2 linked regions of the Caenorhabditis elegans genome follow. The protein of the gene in region 1 interacts with the protein of each later gene in a pairwise test. Each region holds a gene or a part of one and is shown on either strand. Other genes may lie near its edges.

Region 1 (7,262 bases):
TAAAAACAAATAAAATTTTGAGAATGTAATCTGGCTTCAAAAAAAATTCCAGAAACTTGGATATTTCAAAATGGCAAAATTCAAAATAATTACAAGTTTTTGCATATTCCGAAAGAAAAAAGAGAAACCAACTATTTACCAACCGAGTACTTTTTCCAAAATTCAAGTTTTTCCTGGACTACAGTAACCCTACAATAATTCCACAGTACAGTACCACTACAGTAACTAGACATTAGCCATCACTAACTCCAAACCCAAAAGGAAAAATACCCATTTTCTTAATCTACAGTAACCCTACAATAATTCCACAGTACCTCTACAGTACCACTACTGTACTAATATATAAGTATTGATATTGAAAAAAGGTATACACTGACTCTCTAAGTTTTCCAATATTGGCCAATATCTTCTTCTCTTTTTCATGATACAATGCCAACGACGAACAGATGTTCCTTCTGAGCTCCGGGAGTTCCAAGTGTAGAGAGCTATGCTCGTGCTCGAAATGATCCGAGCATTTGTCCAAAAAACATTCGCTGCACATCAGTCGATTCTGCCGTTTCTTGCATCTGTCTCTCATGCACACAAGACTTATACTTTTTCCTGGGTGAAATTGACAATCAGGAGTTGAAATCATCTTTTTCTCATGATGTGCTAGTGTGGATATAGAATGAATCCACGTCCAGCATCTAAAAATATTTATTATTTTCTGATCAAGATTTTAAAATGACTTCCAAAAGGCGCACGGGATTATTTATATGGGTCTCGTCGCGCAAAACGTTTATGGTAGCTTCTTTGCGGCCCTCTCGTTCATTTTCATAGTTTTTTTTAAAATTTATTCTGGACCGCAAAAATTGAAAAAAAAACTACCATAAACTTTTTCTTGCGCGCCGAGACTCATCTAAATAAATGAGTGCGCCTTTAAAAAGCCATGTCAAAATCTTGTGAAACTGATAATATTTCAACTAACTCTTCACATAAATCGGCGTCGCATGTCTCACAATAATTCGAAGCGTGATGATTCGTGTTCTCATCACAGACTCCATTCTTATTCCTCTCCTTTTTCTCATTCTTTTCCGAAATTACTCGGTTCTTTCGATCTTTCACCTCTTGTTTGATTTCCAGAATACTAAAATTCTTTTTGAGTCTCGTCACATCTTTTTTCCAAATTCTCGTCTCAATTCGATCAAATGGGCATGCGATTATCGAAGACTGTCCTTTTATTTTTCCTGCACATCCTGTACAAATCGTGTGACCACATTCTGGAAGATAAAATAATTTTTAATTAAGAATCAAAACACACGGTGTACCAGTCAAAATTCTAGGGATTAGGAGCTTTTCGTCTTCTGAATACTCCTGCCCGCAAATCCCACACTCCGGAAAGCAGCGGAGCATATTCATGGCAAGTTCTGGAAACGAAGAAAAAATATTCGAGTGTATGAAATGAATGGGAAATTTCGTTATTGTCGTTGTTGAAAACGAAAATGTTCGTTTAAAATACGAAAAACGAATACGAAACAAGAAACAGCGCGATGACACCAATTGACCACAAATTTGTGTAAATTTGGAGCAATTTCCGGAGATCAAACAGAGAAAGAAAACACTTTGAATATTCTTGATATGCAGAGAGTGTTCGAAAACTAGAAAAAGAGAGCGCGAGGAACAAAAGTAGAAAGAGTATAATGTGCACACGCGAGGCGACAGGGGGCCTAGGCAGTTGTTGTTTTCAACTCGTTTTAGACTTTGGAGACGCAGAGTCAGATATGCAAAACTATTATCTTCAATGAGAAAAAATGTATTTTATCAAATAGCTATTCAATAGTTCTGTTCAATTTTCCGAACCCATTCTTCAAACTCTTCAGACGTCGGACCAAGTTCTGCGGTTGAAGCGTCATCCGAATTGACTGATGCATTGGATGTTGAACCATAGTCTTCAAGAATCTCAAAATCATCTGGCGGGCACGGAATAGCAAGGTTGACACGTGGATCGAAGTAAACTGGTTCCAAATGTTGCTCCGATTGAGCTAAGCACTCCAGAGAATCAACTACAGTAACCTTCTGATCATCACACATCATTTGAAATCCGGTGATTTTGCCTTGATCACGCCAGACTTGGAGCGGCGACGGTTGATGATTGAGGTCGAAAGGATCATCTGAAGCTGAAAATAAATTTTTTAAAATTTAATTGAGACGGAATCCCACCTTTAACATAATCTTGTTCCATAGAACTCAAATCCGATGCTGTACTGAAAGACATCTGAGTATTCAAAGAAGGATCTGCATAGGCATCCAACTTTTGTGCCACTGTCTCCAATGATACAGCTGTGCAGACCGATGTACAACTCAAAGATTCTTCGATTGCGGTTATCACTGAAAAATCTGGTGATTCAAGATCATCTGAAATCGTTTAAAGGCAACTCACAGTTACTAATAATATCTGCTTCGTTCGTGTTACTACACTCCTTGCTTTTGATGACTCCATCCAAATTGATATCCACTTCTGAACCAATCTTTTCGAGAGCAATGAAATCTGAAATTCTACGGTTCAGACGGCATGACAAACTCAGTAAAATTACCATTGACGACATCTTCCTGAGAACACTCCATGATTATGATCTCTCGAGATGTGATCGATTTGAAAATTTTTTTGAAATGAAATTTTGAATATAAGAAAATGAACATTGAGGCATTAGTAGGAAAGACGTGAAAACATTTAATTTTATAAAAATTTAAAGAACACGGTTGCCACGTGATTGGTGAAAACTTGTACAAAGAATTTATAGATGCTCACAGAGGCAACTCCTTTCGAACAGTTCTCTCAAAAAGTAGGAAATAATGGAAATTGAGAAGAAGCACCACATTTTATGTACAGTTAACATTAAATAGCATGGTAGAAGTAACTTAGAACCACGAGGCTGGTAGATCGCAACAAGGGCGGGTGAAGAATTGATGCAAATTTCAGATTTATAGGGATAAGACAACTCTTTTTAGAAGAATTCCCGTCTTGTTAGGTGTTCAACCCGGGAGCCATGACGGGGCTCATTTTGTCCGCCTCGCTTTCATGTGTGCAAAAGGCGGCCAGGCACAAGTCTCGTTTCCATGAACTATCGTAATAGTCATCAAAAAATTTGCTATACAAAAAACCAAGAAATTACGAATGCATAGACAACAACAAAAATGATTCGACATTTTTTATAGACCAAGTTCAATAATTTGTTCCGATTCTTCAGATCTCGTGATGGATTGAACTGGCATTGGATGAACGCAAGAGGTAGCTTTCCACAGATTTGGCTGAAATTGAAAATATTATTTCTTAAATAAACTTCACTCTTACCAGTTTTTCCAAAATCAGGATTCTGATCGAAATCCACCGGGATTGGTTGGAATTTGTCCAACTGATGAAGGCATTCAATTGAATCAATGATCTTCGCATTCGAAAAATTGCTGCACTCCAATCCAATCACTTTGCTATCCGGAATCCCGAGCTCGGCTTGAAGGCGCTCTACGTAGGCGGTGGTGTCGAATGTTGGATGAGCTGATTTTGCAGTGTGCTCTGACGCCAAATCCTGAGCAACGTTCTTGAGAACATCAGCCATTGTGACGTTGGTCTCCGAGGCAAGGGCAGTGTACTCCGAGAAGCTTGCAACATTCATTGTAACATTTGCTTCTGATGGTGGCATTGAGTAGACAGAGTAGTCAAGAACGTTCATCACTGAAAATTTTTGGTTTTTCAAGATAGAGTTGTTGCAGTTAACTTACAGTCTTTGCACCGCTCGAACTTCTCATTCATGGTCACTGGGGTCTCGGATTTTGGAGCAGAGTAAACGGACAAATTGAATTGATTGATATCTTGACATGGCTGGAACCCTTCGCTAGCTGACACATTTGTTTCTGATTTTGGGATTGGGTAGATCGAAGAATCAGCTTCTGTAAACTCAATATTCCCAAAAAAAAGACAATAAAAACTTACGATCATCTGGCGTCTCATTGACAGCGATAATTTCTTTGGCAAGCACCTCATTGATGGAGCAATTTGTCTCCGATGGCTGAGCAGAGTACACGGAGCACATTCCATCCTGATCCATTTGGTTGTCGAACGAGGAAGCCATAGCTAACCAATCAATTGAGCAGATTGTTTAATCCGACGGTTGAGGTTGTCGGACGAGTATGTAGCAATAAATTGTTAGTGTGGCAAGGGGGAGGTAAGGGGAATTCAAAAGTTCACGTTAAAAGTTCAATTTTTTTTTTGAAATTTATAAATTTTTTTGAAATTTGAACTTTTTATAGTGGAATCATGGCATTTTAAATATATATAAATTGTCAAATAAATAAAAGTGTAAGTCCACGATTCCAGGGAAAAAATTCAAAGTTTTATTCATTTCGTACATCAACTACACAGTCGTACGATGCAAGCCCCCGTCGTAACGGAAACTTGTCAAACCAACGAAGAAGGAGAGCAGCTTGTGCTCCGCCTGAGAGCTCCAGTTGAGCGTCCACGTGTCACTTGGGGAGCGGGAGTAATTGGTGAGTGAATTTATATTAAAAAGTCTTGAAAAATACTTAAACTTTAGATAACGAACACATGGGACGTCTCAAATCCAATTGCTGTTGCATCTACACTCCGCCTCGTGTCTGGGATGATCCGTCAACTTGGGAGCCGGAGGAGCATGAGACGGAGCACTGTCGTGGACATACTCTTCCAGAGAAGAAGCAAAAGCCACAAGGAGGACATGGTAGCGATAAAGATGAAGATAAGGGAAATTGTGGATGTGATCATTGTTGAAACTCGAAGATTTAAAAATTATTAGGAAATTTATGTAGATTTTATTGTAAATTAATCTAAATGACCCATCATGCCTTTGTTCTTATGTTTTTGTATTGAATATTACTTTTCTGCGGTCATAAAAATGAAAAAAAAACTGAAAAACAAACTATTAACACAATTATTTATTCTTGATATCCAAATTAGGTAGCCCTCAAAAATCAATCTTTCTCCACATCGTTTAGCCGCCACTTCTGGAATCTCTTTGGTCCAGTTTCGTGAATAGCAGAGACAGGATCATAGGAGAGTGTGTAGTTGATGACTGTTTGGTTTTGGTATTGACCTTGAGTTTGGAGCATTCTGGTGGCACGATGATGAAGCAGATTGACTTTGGCAACAGCGCTGTGGAATAGACGGAAGTCTTTTTGAGTGTCAGCAATTGAAACTGGAGCAAAATCTTTTGGTTCAAGAAGACCCAAGCGACGTTTTGTCTGAAATTAAATAACAGAAATTAAAGAACATCTAATAGTGAGCTTGAAAAATAAATACCTTGTATTTTATGTGATCGATTATTTCGTAATCATTGGTCTGCTTCTCACTGTCATTACGAATTTCCTCGAACTCGAACATAATTATAGTGACGTAAAGTTGCAGGACGAGCTTTGATCCGGCAATCATATAAAGCATGATCACAACAAACGCAAATTGAGAAATCGGTTGAATAGAGGTAACATCAAGTTTTCCAAGCATTCCAGCCAATGCTGTTTGAAAGGTAGCCATTAAGCTCCGATATCTGGAACCAATTTTTAAAAATTGATTTCTTTCAATTAAGTTTTCATCCTCACCCTCCCATTTTATTTCCTAAAACTGCGTACAATACAGAGTTGAATGTCATGCTGAAGAACAGGAAAGCAATTCCAAATGACACAATAGCTCCGAGAGCGTTATCCAGTGTAGCCGCTAATACTCCAATTCTTCTGTTGAATCTCAAGATTCGAATCATTTTACAAGAAGTGAAGAATACGGCTCCGGCAAGACAATAACTGAATACAATCTCCCAATTTCTCTGTTCAGTCAAATTAATGTACGAATTTCCATTGTTTGCATTGAAATCTTCCATTGCTCTATTTGTGGTTCGTTGGCGGATGGTGTAGGCTAGGACCGATGCAACAGCGAGAGCTCCAACTATCAAGTCCATGAAGTTCCATGGTGAGAAGTTTCTATAAAATGTCTTTTTGAAACTGAAGTTCTCATTAGACCCACCCCAGTGCCAGCTGATACACAATTTTGAATGGATTTCTCGTTGGTTTCATTGTTGTTATCACCTTGTACCGCCCATACAAGTAGAACACAATCTCTTTTACAAATATGAGAACTGAGAAAAAGATGTAAAGCATCTCATAATACTTGACCACAGTTCCATCGCTTCCCTCTGATTTGATAAGTCTTACTGATTCAACCCAACTATTAGGAAGATAAATTCCTGACTTTGGAATCTCCACCAACAACTGTACCACCGAAAAGTAGTTGATTTGAGCATTGTATGCAGAGAACTCAATGATGACTGCTCGAGTATGATCATCGATCCATCGTTCCGAATCAAGTTTATTGAAGAGAGTGATGATTTCCGCTTGGGTACCAGACATACTGATAGTATATCCACCTCCTGAATAGCTATACAGTAGGCCTGAAACTGTTTCAGTGGATAATTCTTCAGAAGTCTTGTAGGTGTATTCATCTGAAGCATCTGTTCCATTCTCGGATTCCAGTTCGGTCCAACCAGCTTGCATGTACAAAGTTTTTTCTTCGTTTCTGAAACCTCTCTATTAGTTGGAAATTGAAGATTTTTACTCACTTGCTTGTCAACTCCTCTCCACAATCATTGATGTATCCTTGAAACTGCTTGAACATCGTACACTCTGCACTTTTCTTTGTCCGAACCTGCCGTATCGTACCTATTCCCATACTTCTTGAAACTTTATCATTCATGTAGGCTCTCATCCCGTATGCAGGATTTCCGTCGTACCAAGAAGCCAAAAGAGCAGTGGCCAGAGATTCACGAGCCCAATCCCAGAAATCGTCAGCATGTTGGATTGACATGAAAGTATTGTCACCGTAGTTCTTTTGATTGATGTTCAAGATTGTGCTCATCTGAAAATAATAAGTTCATCTAAATCTATGTGCATTAAAGTCTACCTCCAACTGATACCAATATCCATGCCGGTCTTTGCAATAGTATGTCAGCATAACCATAATATACAAAGAAGCAAAGAAACAAAGCATATCACGAATGGTTATAAATAACTGTTCATCTCTCATTTTTCGGTTTTCAGTGTCTCGGAGCTTTGTAACATCAGCAATTTCGGTTCCCAGACCTTTTTCGATTTTCCCATAGGGATTTCCTGAATTTCAGTAATGAATTCTGATAGCTTCTTTTTATAAAACTTACTCAAGAACGTCTCAGCTGGCTTAGCTCTTAGCAATGCTTCCTCCAACTTGTTAA
Region 2 (7,278 bases), 3.3 Mb from region 1:
TGCCAACCGAGGTTGTCCAGCTTCTAGACGCTTGGCCTGCTTGGAAAAACGAAGGGGATGTTCAAGCTGCAGCATTATCCGGAAATACAGTACATGTGAGATCTATTCCACCAGGAGCTACATCATTTATTCAACCTTGCGATCTTTACTTTTTCTGTCCGTTGAAGAATTTCGTCAAAAAGGTGAACGCGTACATCATCTACTCCGGTATCACCTTCAAGACGTCAGAGCGTGACAACCTGCTTCGCGTGATATCTGCAGTGTACCGTGTCTTTCGTGCACCAATTTTCCAATCATGCTGGAAGTACGGCTGGATCCAAGGAGGATACATAGATGACCAACATGTCAAAGTGGAAACTCCATCCAAATTTTGTTTCAAAGTTTCTGGATACTGTTCGCAAAAGAAAACGAGAGATACGATGTGTCAAGATACGGCTTTTCTTCTTTGCCCATACTGTAAGAAGGTTTTATGCTTTAACCACTGGGTTGGATGCGGCTTCCCAGCTCATAAGTGTAAGTGTTAAAAGCCATTGTTGAGTATATTATATGTTGCTTTTGTTTTTTTTTTTAATATTGGCATCGTTCGTTTGTTTTTTACATAAACTTTAAACATCTGTTTTATTGTGCTTTTAACTATAACACATATTGAGAAAAAAAAATCGGAAAAATTTGGAGAATTGACGCATTTGATTCATAGGGATAATATCTGCATATTTTCCCACTTGAAAAAGTTTATAGATGTGTTCTAATTGGAAATGGATTGACTTTAAAAATTAAAAAAAAAGTTTATGTTGACGGGGAACCGAACCACGAATACCACACCTCGAAACTCACGCCACTACCACTCGGCCACCAAGCCATGTTTGCTAACGCTAATTGAGAGTGGTGAGTTCACTGGTGTTTCTGCAGCGTGGTAGTCATTGAAATATCACTTGATATGAGGAATTTCAGCACCAAACTTCAAGACGTCACAACTTGGCCAAACCTGCTCTGAAGCAGCTAAATTTTTTGGAGGGATCATCTGTAACTATCCTCTATCGAATGTATATAGTGGCGTAACGAAGTCCGATAACGAGTTCAGAACCTTCCCTTGTTAGGTGAACATGAAAATATGAAAAAACTTATAATTGATGAAATGTCGCAAAATATTTTTTACTTATTGTTTAACAACATGATTATTTTGAAACTCAACGAAAATTGGGTTAAGACTGTTAGAGCATAAACGATCTCAAAAATTTCAGTGGTTTTTGGTAAAATGAGTTTGACTCTGTGTAACTCAACAATTAGTTGGTTTTTTGCAATGAAAAATGTTGCAAAATTTTCGTATTGCATAAAAGCATAACCATTTTTGTCGCTTTTTGATGAAGCCAAAAACAACCAACTTGGCATTGGGCTCTATCTTTTTCGCAAAGATTTTTGCCAAACGAAATGTGTTCTGAATTATCAAAAATGTAAAATTATTTCTTAAATATTTTCAGCTTTCAAAGTTCATTGAAAACAGTTCCCAAAATCTACCACAAGTTCTAATTCCAAGTGGTAACCAAATTCGGCAGTCTCCTGTGAAAAACTTCCAAGGTACCAAAATGTTATCTAGTTCAATAAAACTTATGTTTTAGATTCATTTCTACCGACGCGCCGACAGAATGATGGAGCTCTTGATAAATATGATACTCATGTTGACCGGTTTGCATCCACTGGACCAGCAAATTCAATCAAGATTCAAGGAGATCTATCAAATCTTCAACTTCCACCAACTAGAAACACTGGAAACATTGCAATTCAGCCATCAAAAGTTGATTCAATAGTTGGCGCAATGCCAACAATGCCTCCATCGGCAGGTTACGGTACTTATGCTCCAGCACCAACAGCAATTATTCCAAAAGTAATTGAAAGAATTCTATCTCCGGAAGAGATTACTGGATCTTATCGGTAAAATGTGAATTAAAGTTGCAAATATTTATTTTTTAATATTCAGACAACAACAAATTCGCCCAATTTACAATCAAAGAATGCCAAATGGCCAACTTCGAAACGTGCAAATCGATCTAGTCAATGAACAAAGAAAATTGTAATGTATGAATAAGTTATGAGATATTTGAATGAATTGATTTTTTGAAAATGTTACAAAGAAAAATTGAAAAAACAAAGCAAACATGGGTGAGGTACCAGTAACAACAGAATACATGAAGATTTAATATTTTTGGTCGTAATGTGTTTGGAATGATGGAAAAAGTCGAGATTTTAGAGTGAAATTTACATGAAAGATCAGCAACAATCTGTGAGATGTTGCTCAACAAGTGGGTTTCCAGTGAACAAGAAATATCCAACAGCTTCTCCGACAACAATTGAGAGAATTAGGTTCATGTTGTAAGTCATAGCAATCAGCATAAGAGTGTAAGCAAGGAGAGCCTGAAAATTTAGATTATTGAAATATTAAGAATTCGTAAATATTGTCTTATAGAAAATTCACTTTTATACAATTAAACGTTATAATTACCTGAAGTCCGTAGAGAGCTCCTTGAGCAAGCCGGTACGAGGTGAACAGCCGTTTTGTAAATCTGAAATTTCAATAATACGATTTCTATCAAAAACTTCTTGTAAGACATACCCAGATAACTGAACAAGTGGTGCGATGTGAATAGAATCTTCAGAAATATTGTCTCCTCCACTATTTTGTGGATTTGTAATGGATGCTTCTGCATGTCTCTGTTGTCTCTTTTGATTATTCCATACTGCGAGGAAGTAACGGAATGATTTGATGGCTTCGTAGAGAATACAGAGAAGGAAGGTTATAAGCATGGAGACTGCCATTCCTGGAAATTTATTTGTGTATTTCATCAACTTAATTTTTAATTGTTTTGCAAATTTGAATGTGTCCGAAGTATATAGACTTACCAGACAGAGATCCAGTTTTCCACCAGCTGAAGAGAATCTTCTCGCGTTCTCCAAAGTGCAGAGTCATATCCATGTCCATTTTCTGCAAATCGATATTTTTGGATTAAAGAGAAGTTGAAAAAGAGCAAGAAGACATTACAACCGAACGGGCCATTGATTAGATAAAGTTTATTTACACTTCACAAGCATATCACATGCTATTTTCAAAAAAAAAAACGTTCGGAAAATATAAAAAATGAAACGAGAAAGAGTAAGAATCAATGCAGAATCGAGAGAAATCGGATGAATGGGAATGGTCAGAGAGAAGAGAAATGTCTAGTTATTTTATCGTGTCGATTTACGAGACAGACTACGAGTCATTCTCCGTCTGTGTCTTCTCATTTCTCCATGCAATACCCAAGTCTATCACCAACGCTAGGCAAGCAAGCGAGCAGGCAGGAAAAGGGCATTTGGATGTGGGAAAATGGTTTGATAGTCAGAGAGACAGATGACATTTTGTTACTTTCATTGAGAACGAATGTAAACAATAACGGTGTGTGATACAACTTCCTGATGTGATAACACTATTGAATTAACCTGCAAATTTTGTTTATAATTCATTCAGTATTTCTCGAGTAGTAAAATTGATATTGGTTTTGAAAATGAAAAGTTTGAACCTATGATAGATTTTATAAGAATATACAAATAGTTTGAACACATTTTATCAAAACGGAATGCGAAGTTATTTCGAGCATTAGTTTATGCTGATTCAAGTCGAAAAATTAGTTGCAATCTGAGTTAAAAAATATGGTAATTCGCATTGCACAATAATTTAATAAAATTTCAGAATTCTGGGAAAAGTCTGCGATAATGCGTTTACGTACTAGGCCCAGAATGATTTTTCAAAAAATTATTTATCAACACGTTGAGTTCGAAGTTTACGGTCAAAATGGGTTTTGAGCTATTACTGAGAACGTTTCATAAATTATCGAGGTAATGCCAAAATGTTGCACAGCTGTAATGTGTTCTACCGTAACAACTTTGTTACACATAAATTCCAAAAAATGTCGGCAATCATTAAGTAATTGAGGTGAACCAGAAATTTAATAATGTTTTATTGATCTAGAAAGCACACCCCCTTTCACATCGCAACAACAGTTCTCAATAAGTTTTCCCATTTGCTCATCCAATTAGGAAGACCGTAATCCAACAGTATGTTATTCTATTGTTTTTGTAGGTGTCTGTGAGTGTGTCGGCACATGCGTGCCATTAGTGCAATATTTGCTCAATTCATTAGTTGTTGCTACACATCCCAATCAAAAAGAAGAGCTGTCTGTCAAAAGATTACGGAAAGCAAGAGAGATGTCGCACCAGACGCACTTACTTTATCTCAACACTAATCCTTCGGATACAGTTTTTGAAAATGCGTTTATCGGTTTGCCGACTCTTCTCACCTGCACACGGGTTCAAGTGGGAATCATTTGGAATTAGTGCTAAAGGTGGTGATCAGAATACGAAAGGGTCATTATGGTTCCCGCATTTTAGAATGTACATATAATTTGAAATGTATACGATTATCGTGTTAGCAAATAACTAGGAAATTTTTTCTGACTACATTTAAAAATTTTATCTTAAATAATCCATCCATTAGTGATATTTTGGGACAAGTGACGCGGTCATGCATCGAGTTCAGGCAAGTTTAGTAATAGTGGGAGTGTGCATAGTTTTTAAATATGAACCCTTCTTTTTAAATAATGAACCCAACAAGCAGGTATAACTAGGGGCTGATAATGGCTGGCTTCCTGCTGGTCCGTTCTTTATCAAATTTGTACATGGAAAATACTTGAAGATGTTTATTTTTTTGAAAAGACTGTCAAGAGTGTGAGAATTTGCTTTTTGAAAATTTGAATCTGAATTTTTCAAATGTTTAATAACTATTTTCTTCTACTTTCTGAAAAATCTCCTTTGCTTAAAATCCTTCATTAATTGCAGAATTCTCTTCTCACTAATTTGCAAAACATCTTCTCATCAAATCTTGTTTTCCACTAAAATCACACAGATTTTCGTAAGAATAATGAGCGCGTTTTCAATGATGAGCTATATACCGACAAAACAGCATGCCAATTGTGATGAAATAGAAGCTTCAATACAACGACTACTTCTTCTACGGTAGTGAAATCCGCTAACTAATTGGGAATAATTGCTGTATTGCATATGCATAAGTTTTTGTATTAACACCACGAGTATGAGGGAGGAGTGATGATGAAGTAATTCTTCTGGAACTATGTTACATTGGAGCTCACCACAGGACACCTTTTTGCGGTGACTCAAGAAACAATAGAGCAAGTCATGAGGTGTCAAATGTTCAAAGTACCCATAGAGCCAGTTATAATTAAGTGTGACATGTAAACGGAAGGAACTTTTCTTAATATTCTTTGTCTTGTATTTGATGACGTGGCAACAATATTTTGCACAGCAGGTCTTACTCCTCTTGTTGCTAATAAGTTTGTGTGAGTATGTCTACTCAACATAATAAGTTAAAAGCCTTCTAGCGCTTCTGCCGTCTATAATGCAATAATAGTCTTCGTTACTCGATGCTCAATTTCTTCGTTTAGTCAGGTCAGCCAGTCGTCTTTCCCTATTTTCTCTCCAAGCTTTAAAACGTTTGAAGGGGTACAGTGATATGCACAAAAAATGCACAAGTTGTTGGGGAAGTGGTGAACATCTGTGGAAAGGTTCAAATTGCTCAGTTGCACAATGACTATTACTAGACGCGTGTCGCTCTCAACACGTTCACACTTGTTATTGTTATTGTACTGGCTCAATCGCATTGTATTGTAACATAAACACGTAATTAGAGGGAGATGATGAGCATGAGAGGTCGAATTGTGCCAAAAGTGGAAAACGGCTGTAAGTAGGCTTTTCATGTAGGCACAAACACTGCCTGTGGCCTTTGTCTACCACAAAAGTACTGAAAGGTGCGTAGTAGGCATGCCTGAATAAGTACAAAATTTTAAGAATAAGTACAAGACTTACATCGTTAGTGAATTTGAAGAGTTTGCAAAATCAAAATTATTTTGTCAATCAAGTTAATACTTCTAGAGTATTTGGCCAAGAATCTTTTGTAGACCATTTGAAAATTTTCAGAAATTGAGTTGATTGCTAAGCTTTTCCAATTTCTTGATGAGATATTTGAGGTTTGAAAACATTATGTAAATTACGTTTTGTTTTTATTGGAATTTTAATTTCACCTATATGCTAGATATACTATTCCAGATCATCAAAACTGGCAAGAAAAGAAGACTCCAGACCATATACAAAAAATGAACACGTCATCATAATACACGACTGATCGAAAATGACACAACTGATTAGTTTCAATATTTTATTCTAGTACTGAACATTACGAGACAATCAATTTCCATATTTTGCTCATCGTCACTTAAGTGGTTGTTTATTCTTTCATCAACCGCCTACAATATTGCCTACGGCAATACTGTCATTCACAATCATTATCCCTCTCATCAACTCTTTTTTCTTCTTCTCCTTGTCGTCTTTCACGGGACCTTCATCTCTATTCGCCGACTCCGCCCCCTTCCGATGCCGTCTGAAGCTCCACCCATTGTGCTCCTATGGGAGCACCATATTACCGTGTTAGCTCATTTACACGAGAATCTTACCTCCCGTAAAATAATCTTCAAACTTATTTGAAAATGATAACTCCTGTATCAAGTTTTTCAATTGATGATCTTCTTCGTGGGCATTCAAACGAAATTCAAAGAATTCTGAAGCTTGATCAAACATCGCCCACTCCCCAATCAAGTTCAGATGAGGTATGTTCTTAAACTATTTTTCTCGTTTGGGTTTTGTAGTCACCATAGGCACTCTGCAAATATTTAAACAAACATATCAGGAATGTATTTCGCTCAATTATCAAAATTGAATTTAAATATAATTTTTCCGTTTTTTTTGGCCTTTGGTCAATGATTTCTTTAAAATTGATTCAAAATAAGTCGCAACTTCATTAAAAAATATTTTGTTTCCTTGATGTGATGCTTGTTCTTTCACAATTACTTAAATTCAACAAGTAATATTTCAATAAAATATGTAAATTTGATCATCAAAAATTACTCTATCGGTTTACTTCCAGGGATCAGAAAAATCATCGATATCCGTAATGTCAGTTCCATTGACAAATGAATTAACTCCCACAATCACTCCTGCTCTTTCTGATCAGCTTTGGCTTGCAGCAGCAGCGTTTCCAATAGAACATAGTCTCTTGTTGGCTCAACGAAATGGAGTTTTTCCTGGATTCTGGTCAACAGCTGATCAGATTCGATTGTCAAATGCAACTAAAGCGTATAGAAGATTGAGGTTGGAATGGTAATGATTGAAATTTATCAA

Evidence for each region. Proteins that work in one complex are often made in the same cells at the same time.
Region 2: the proteins of ZK945.7 (region 1) and F31E8.4 interact in a two-hybrid assay, tested with the Caenorhabditis elegans proteins (one large-scale study listed by BioGRID).

The regions. Positions count from the first base shown.
Region 1 is NC_003280.10:10,104,299-10,111,560, forward strand, and holds ZK945.7 (uncharacterized protein), read right to left. Parts: upstream 4,180-7,262; 5' UTR 4,107-4,179; coding exon 3,968-4,106; intron 3,925-3,967; coding exon 3,757-3,924; intron 3,710-3,756; coding exon 3,332-3,709; intron 3,289-3,331; coding exon 3,224-3,288; 3' UTR 3,175-3,223; downstream 1-3,174. Other genes in the region: putative RING finger protein ZK945.4, read right to left, coding at 378-686, 968-1,259, 1,308-1,398; ZK945.6 (Ovule protein), read right to left, coding at 1,813-2,156, 2,200-2,367, 2,420-2,527, 2,574-2,604; ZK945.8 (PPP1R11/YPI1 family protein), read left to right, coding at 4,404-4,521, 4,569-4,780; lov-1 (Location of vulva defective 1), read right to left, coding at 4,981-5,250, 5,309-5,552, 5,605-5,979, 6,023-6,571, 6,615-6,910, 6,956-7,161, 7,209-7,262.
Region 2 is NC_003280.10:6,797,171-6,804,448, forward strand, and holds F31E8.4 (Copper transport protein), read right to left. Parts: upstream 2,985-7,278; 5' UTR 2,975-2,984; coding exon 2,896-2,974; intron 2,814-2,895; coding exon 2,609-2,813; intron 2,559-2,608; coding exon 2,498-2,558; intron 2,410-2,497; coding exon 2,266-2,409; 3' UTR 2,073-2,265; coding exon of another isoform or gene 1,976-2,072; 3' UTR 1,941-1,975; downstream 1-1,940. Other genes in the region: T13C2.2 (uncharacterized protein), read left to right, coding at 1,479-1,575, 1,617-1,929, 1,976-2,072; tab-1 (Homeobox domain-containing protein), read left to right, coding at 6,588-6,707, 7,025-7,257.